Drosophila melanogaster: one gene and its partner. The main gene of each other region encodes a partner of the protein of the gene in region 2 in a complex. Each region holds a gene or a part of one and is shown on either strand. Other genes may lie near its edges. A codon is read from its position in the direction of its gene.

Evidence for each region. The genes of interacting proteins can lie anywhere in the genome.
Region 1: the proteins of pins (region 2) and insc are in contact, whole or in part, in a crystal structure (PDB 5A7D), measured with the Drosophila melanogaster proteins. Residues at the interface, in NP_524999.2 of Drosophila melanogaster: Gly39 (codon at 2,363), Ser40 (codon at 2,366), Ser41 (codon at 2,369), Met42 (codon at 2,372), Leu44 (codon at 2,378), Glu45 (codon at 2,381), Leu46 (codon at 2,384), Ala47 (codon at 2,387), Leu48 (codon at 2,390), Glu49 (codon at 2,393), Glu51 (codon at 2,399), Ala64 (codon at 2,438), Phe65 (codon at 2,441), Ala68 (codon at 2,450), Asp76 (codon at 2,474), Arg78 (codon at 2,480), Thr79 (codon at 2,483), Ser81 (codon at 2,489), Ala82 (codon at 2,492), Ile83 (codon at 2,495), Ser85 (codon at 2,501), Gln86 (codon at 2,504), Asn89 (codon at 2,513), Phe92 (codon at 2,522), His104 (codon at 2,558), Asp107 (codon at 2,567), Ala111 (codon at 2,579), Gly119 (codon at 2,603), Lys122 (codon at 2,612), Ser123 (codon at 2,615); in NP_477024.1 of Drosophila melanogaster: His306, Pro307, Glu308, Pro309, Val310, Ser312, Trp313, Met314, Glu316, Gln317, Arg318, Trp319, Ala320, Gly321, Glu322, Pro323, Glu324, Val325, Met326, Cys327, Thr328, Leu329, Gln330, His331, Lys332, Ser333, Ile334, Ala335, Glu337, Ala338.

The regions. Positions count from the first base shown.
Region 1 is NT_033778.4:20,834,346-20,838,097, reverse strand, and holds the start of insc (inscuteable), read left to right. Parts: upstream 1-2,069; 5' UTR 2,070-2,428; intron 2,429-3,752.
Region 2 is NT_033777.3:27,580,840-27,584,591, forward strand, and holds the start of pins (partner of inscuteable), read left to right. Parts: upstream 1-2,000; 5' UTR 2,001-2,248; coding exon 2,249-3,535; intron 3,536-3,752.

The DNA of each region.
Region 1 (3,752 bases), on a different chromosome or scaffold from region 2:
ATCATACTTGCTTGGTCTTGTTTAATTTCACATCTATGTAACAACCAAAATGGTGTTCCTTGCACTTAAGGTGGATACGTTTCTCTCAGTGTCCTTTTATGGCAGCTGCTCCGGCTGAACTGAGCTGAGCTGCGAGGCTCGTGCATTTCGTTAACGTGACAAAAATACATTGATTACATTTTTTTTAGCTGCACTCGACTCGGGGATCTGCGTTTTTGGGCTCTAGGAGCTAGGAGCTGGGATCTGGTAACTGGGAGCTGGAAAACTGGGTACTGGGTACTGGGAACTGGGACCTGGGCGCACGTCCGCACACTTGGCACATTTGTCAGGGCGACGCCGCGATGTAAACATCTTGCACGTAGGATCCGGGGTCCTTTTGCATCCTGGCTGGATGGCACGACAACTAGTTGTAGTTGGAATCGGAGTCCTCGTGCTGCACGGGGTCTTTGAACTGACAAATTACATTGACAACGAATGGGGCGAAATTCCATTCGTGTGCACTCTGAACTCCAACTCCTCTAGCTCCCCAGAACTGTCTCATTTTGTGAGGCTCCACACTGAAAAGTTTGGGGGTCAATGCCATGGCATTTCATATAAACAAAAAGTTAGGCATAACTGTCAGCAAGCAAATAAAATAAACAAATGTCAATAAATGACAATTGATTGTGCTTTTCAAAGTTTTCGGCCCAAACCATTATTAGTCAAATCAGATTGTCTATTTAGTTTACATTGTGTTAATGATTTAAAACTCTCGGTTTGGACACGATTTATTTGTATAGCCATTTGAAAATGGCATTTATTGTCATTTTTTTTTTTTATTGCTACGCGTTGTTAAAATTTCTTGAAAGGTGTCAATAGCAAACAGATGTTAAACGAGATACAGTATTGAATATTGGTTTTATTCTATGAATTTCGATCCTTCATAAGCGAAACATTGTTTTCATTTGTTAGTTTCAGTGCACTTTGTTCATTAGTTGTTTGTGGATTTAATTTGCTTACTTGGCTCTGTGCTTTTGCTTATTGTTTCAGTTAGTTTCGCAATTTGGAAACTATCTCAAATTGGCAATAGTGAAAAGAGCAAACACATCGTGGGCTCCTCTTAATTATTTTCACCGACGAACGGGTGGGCGATCGAACTCTTATGGCTGTAATAATTGGTGCAAAATTGTTCAATTGCCTAATTGCTGTCGATTGCTCATAATTTTTAGTGTAACACTGTGTATTTGTGGCACATTTTCGTTTTATGGCCACGAGCGTTCATGAATGAATGGGCTTTATTTACAGGGCATTTAAAAGTTTCGGGTAATCTTATCACCCAGAAGTGTTCAAACTTGCGCAAGTCATCAAACAAATTTCGAAACGGAAATACCAAAGGGTTGAAATAGTCTAAACGAAAAGATAACTGCCTTAAAATTGCGCCCAAAATTCGCACAAAATCGCAGTAACAATAACAAGCGAACCTAATCAAAAATCCAAAATCTCAGGCAGCTGCGCATGCGTAGCAGATGAAAGAGATAGCGAGAGATCGCACCTTTGAAAATGCTACCGGAACAGCTGGCGCAGAAGAGCGAGAGGGAAGACAGGAGTGAGTGATAAGAAATAGCAACAAAAGCGCATAAACCACCACCAACTACTACAACAACGAACGCGACAAAGCGAACAATGCTCTTCATTATGCCCGTTATTATTAAACAAATAGGGAGAGCGAAAGAGAGAAAGGTGAGAGCGCACCATGTTGATAACACACCCCGTGTAGCTAAAAGTTAGCCAGATTCACAATTAAAGGAGCTAGAAATGCTGATATATGCTCAATTTGATTTATGATCACCTATAAAAACTTGATACTGATAATAGCAGCTAATAATACTTTAATTTTCAGTACCTTAAGACACATAATTCAAAGTATGCACTCAATTAAAACATTGTATTAGATATCCTTAGCTAGAAAGTAGTCAAGCTGCCAGCACTGCCTACCTTACTCACCCAGGTAATTTGACTCCGACTCTCCGGCTTACTGCTCTCCCACCCCGGGAATTAGAAGTCTGAGTCGAAGTCGCCAACTGTAGCCGCTCATTCGATTCCCAGCAGTCGAAGCACGCAGACGCAACCGCTGCGATCGTCGCGAGATATTTGTGTTCGATCATTGTTTTCGTATCGTTCGGGTTAACCACGTTCGTTGAGTGTCGTGTCGACTTGTGTTTACCGTTGTGCAGTGTTAAACTATTTACGCTTTGTCTTGTGGGTGCAGCACCCCCACCACCCAGCCACCCACTACACATACGCACTGTCAAGTTTTGTGGTGCCCAAAAGTAATCAAATGACACGTGCTTGAAATACACATTTTACTATCCATCAGTGGCGGCCGAAACAACAACAAAAGCATAAGCCAAACTTGGGATTACCTCGGCATTGTTTATACAGGAAAGCGGTAAGTTTTGGCCACAATAAACCGTAAAGCACATTCGGAATGCTTTGACCCCAATAAGCTTAACAATAAACACAAATATTCAATACGATTCCGCATACGCCCCTCGTAATTACACATGCCTTAATTCACATAATCACAAACTACAGACATATGTATATATTTATGTACCTCCGCCCATTTATTGAAGTAAATTCCGATGGTTTTTATTTTTGCTCATTCGAGGACCTCGCTAAGCCGCGTTTTATGACTCAGGAGCCTCACAAAGTCAAAGTCGTCAGACCGCAAACTGATTTCGTTCGCTTTTCTCCGAATGTTCTTTATAACGTAGATCCCACAAATGAGTCATCCGTGCGCTTGGGGATACCGGAGTGGATACATAACTGCCTGAGATACGTATGTATCGTATAATTGGGGGAGGCAGTGGGCTAAGGTGACTGATCAGGTTGATGGGGAATGAATGAGCTGGGGGTGCTGGTGACTAAGCCCCCAGCATTGGATAACGCTAATTGGGTTGGGTAAAGAAATGTGTGCACACAGATGTGATAGTCTGCTGGCTAGGAAAGAGTCACCTCTAAGGCAGTTGTGAATGGGTTACATTGAATAACATTCCAGTCAGTCCTCAAAAATATCCAGTTATGTAGCTTGAAATAAAAAACATTTCTAAAAGAAGATTTTTAAGTTTCTTTGAATGTTTTGGTTGGTCTCTTACATTTTAATCAGCTTATGCATTTGAAGAAGTTGGCTTTCGCCACCTCGAATACTTGTTATCTCGACTCATCTGGAAACCTCAGAATATATCAGTGGCACGATTTCAATCTCACCGCATTGTGGTGTTTCGCAGATTTCCCTAATTTCAGTTTGCCCGCGCCTAATTGCAATAATCAAGGGAGCACCGCATAATCTCACTGATCTAGTTCCAGTTTAAGAGCGTTTCTGCGGTCTCGATGGCTCCATTAGAGTGCTAAACACCGGCCATTACGGCGGTCATCAGGAGAGGTGTTATTACCTGGACGTCTGGACGTGGAAACCAGTCGGCACTGGAAGTCACTCACCTGTTGCGGCCAAGAGATCGATATCATTGACAATTGGTGTCGACGGTAGCAGCAGTGGTATATAATGCCAGTTCGATATGTTGCTACCGTTAGATGGGAAATGCCAAAGCAATGATGATTGTCCATTTGAGTGGGATTAACGTTTAATTTGGCTTAGTTTATTGATTTTCCATCGAACAGGTCGGTTAAATGTCAGGGAATGTCGCGAAATGGAACATTTCGTCGATTGCATTTGCTAAACCATTTGCAACTCTTTGTTTTTTGCTCACTCA
Region 2 (3,752 bases):
ACACACACTCGGTGCGAGAGAGACACACACACGCACGCGGCACAAAATCGATATTCTAAAAATAATATAAGTAAAAAATATATATGCTCATACGAATTCTAACCGATTGCGTGCGTGTATTTGTGTGTGCGTGTGTGTGTGCGGGCTGGCTGGATTGCGAGCGTAATTACATATTTATTTATTTATTAAAACTTTTGAAACACCGAATTGCGTCTGGGGATTTAGCCGCTTACTGCGCACTTGAAAAATTTGCATTCGCCTTGGAAATTTGGCTTTAATTTTGCACTCGGCTTTGTTTAGTTGCCTTTTATTTCTCCTTCTTTATTCGGGCTTGGAATTTTCGCTGCAGAATTTATTAAAAACCGACTGCGTATGTGTGTATATAAAAGATTTCTATATCTTTTGCAACCGACGACGAAGGCGGCATACGGCAACTGTGGCGATATTTTTTTCCTTCGTCCGACTCTCGCGCTCTCTTTTCGTTTTCGGCTTGCTCTCTCTGGCACATGGGTATATACTATACGCGAGAGGGAGCAGGCACACACAAACGAAAAGCCTGCCTCCAATTGATTAGTATTAGTACTTCGAATAGTATTACTATTGTTATTGTTTTCATCTAGCTGACTTTCAATTGTTTGGTGCTGATATTTAGCTAGATTCCCCAGGTGCGATTACTCATTTGGCTTTTGTTTCGAGACCACTGTGCCAGATTTCTGGGTGAGAGCGTGGTGAGTTTCGTTTCAACTCACCACAGAAACTGTTGTTGCGCGTCGCGCTCTCTATTTAGGCGGCTCTCTCCCACACACGGTCACACTACAGTCCCAAAAATGAATGAAAATACCACAAAATACCATCCAACGCACGGGCACACCGGCGAACTGAAAGACGCCGCTGCTTTCAAGTTTTTCTCCCGTTTTTATTTCCTATCGAGGGCGATAACCAAACAAGGCTATCGTTATCGACCTCTCGCTCGCTCTGTATCCCTCCTTCCCTGTCGCACTCGCTCTCCTTTTGTGTGGCTAATTTTTTCCTTTTAGTCCTTTTTTCGGTTGCCTTCGTGCAGAAATTCCCTGCTTTATGTAATTTAGAACACAATGTTTGCGTTGCACTGTTGGCCGACTGCAGCTGAAAACCGCACAAAAAAAGCGACGCACACACACACCTTCGAGCATCCGGACTTCCAATTTGCACTGCTTTTCTAACAGTCTATCGCGCACGCACTGCCACAATTTCACCCGCTTATCGCGCCGCAATATGGGACGTTCGCTTTTCAATCGATTTTGGTAACCGGCAGGTGCGCTTTATGCGAGAATTACGAATTTTCTCCAGCGGCAACTAGAATCGTTCACACAGACACCGTAGAAGTGACGCCATCTTTGAAGCGATTAGTGTTGCAAAGCGCGTCTGCAAAAGTGCTGGCTACCAACTACGGTTGATAGGGATGAGGGCTATGGCTTGTTGACCGAAAATGATAAATGTTAACTATGCCAATATATTTTAGATTTTACTAATACGTTACAAAAATAAGAAAAGACTATGATAAAATTGTGTTTTAGCTTGGCTCATAAGTATTGATCCTTTATAAGCTATGGTCTTGCAGTGGCTAACATTTCTCAAATTAGGGCAACCATCTGATAAGATTTCTAATTCGAATTCTAATAAATGAATTTAAACTGCTTTTTCTTAAAGTTAAAAAAAAATTAGTTTTAAATCAAACGGCATGCATACATTAACCATCAAACAATGTAATTATATATATAATATTACCAATTGGGCTACTAAATATTGCTGATATGTAAGCTATGGTCATGAGGTAAAGGCATATTATTTATATAATTTTCATAGTATCTTTGTTGTAGGGGAAAAATAACAAGTAATTTAAAATTGTTCAATTGACTTAAAACAAAATATAACAGATATTATTTTTAAATCCAACGACATACCATATAAAGTTGGTATTTCTTTCTAATCTGCTTGGTATTCTCATCGACCCCAATCGGTCACACTGGTCGTGAATCAGAAACGCACTAATTAGTCAAAAAAACGGTACAAAAGATCGCTTAATTGCTGAAATTTCACCTGTCGCAGTTAAGTTTACCCACCAGCAGTTCAAAACCAGCCAGAGGCTAGCTAAAAACCCCAAAGATCGACCCCAAAACATCGCCGCAAAGTGGACAACTCCCAGTTTTCAGAGCACCTGCCCCTCAAAAAGGAGCATCGCGACAAAAAGGCGAGACTTCGCAGCAGAATGTCCTCGCTCTCTGCGTCCGCGGAGAATGTGTCCAGTTTGGGACTGGGATCGGGCGGAGGAGGAACTACTTCCCACGACGGCAACTCCCAGCAGGGTTCCGGATCCGACGGAGGATCCAGTATGTGCCTGGAACTGGCCCTCGAGGGTGAACGCCTCTGCAAGGCGGGTGACTGCCGGGCGGGCGTGGCCTTCTTCCAGGCGGCCATTCAGGCCGGAACCGAGGATCTTCGCACTCTGTCCGCCATCTACTCCCAGCTGGGCAACGCCTACTTCTACCTAGGCGACTACAACAAGGCGATGCAGTACCACAAACACGATCTTACGCTGGCCAAGAGCATGAACGACCGACTGGGCGAGGCCAAGTCCTCTGGCAATCTGGGCAACACCCTCAAGGTAATGGGTCGCTTCGACGAGGCGGCCATCTGTTGCGAGAGGCACCTAACGCTGGCCAGGCAGCTGGGAGATCGTCTGTCCGAGGGACGCGCTCTTTACAACCTAGGAAATGTCTACCACGCCAAGGGCAAGCACTTGGGTCAGAGAAACCCTGGAAAGTTCGGCGACGATGTCAAGGAGGCGCTCACCCGTGCCGTGGAGTTTTACCAGGAGAATCTGAAGCTCATGCGGGATCTGGGTGATCGTGGTGCTCAAGGTCGAGCTTGTGGTAATCTGGGAAATACCTACTACCTACTAGGCGATTTCCAAGCGGCCATTGAGCATCATCAGGAGCGACTGCGCATTGCCAGAGAGTTTGGTGATCGCGCGGCTGAGCGAAGGGCCAACAGTAATCTTGGCAACTCGCACATATTCCTGGGACAATTCGAGGACGCCGCCGAACACTACAAACGCACCTTGGCTTTGGCCGTTGAGTTGGGTGAACGCGAAGTGGAGGCCCAGAGTTGCTACAGCTTGGGCAACACCTACACGTTGCTGCACGAGTTCAACACTGCCATCGAGTATCACAATCGACACTTGGCCATTGCCCAGGAGTTGGGCGATCGAATTGGTGAGGCCAGGGCCTGCTGGTCACTGGGCAATGCCCACTCTGCCATCGGTGGTCATGAGCGGGCCCTAAAGTATGCGGAACAGCATCTTCAACTGGCCAAGGAGCTGCACGACCCGGTGGGTGAAAGCACAGCCAGGGTGAACATCTCCGATCTACGAAAGCTACTCGGAATGCCCGACTCCGAGCCTTCACCCACCGAGGAGGAGGCTCGATCCACCGCCTCCGATCACTCGGCCAGCGGAAATCAGTCGGATGGATCGGAGAACTCGCAAGGAAGAATGGTAAGAGAAACGAGCTGCAACAACATAAAGCAATATGAATGATTCCTGAGATATTTTTAAACAATACTGGCAGTCCGTTTGTTCTATTTTTCGAAGTGGACACCTGCTGCTTGCAGTGTTTGCCCCTTTATGTTAGCGTAAATATTTATACTTTGTACCAAAACACATCGTTAAACTTTCGATTCGAGCACATGCTGAGAAATTGAAACCCCTGAAA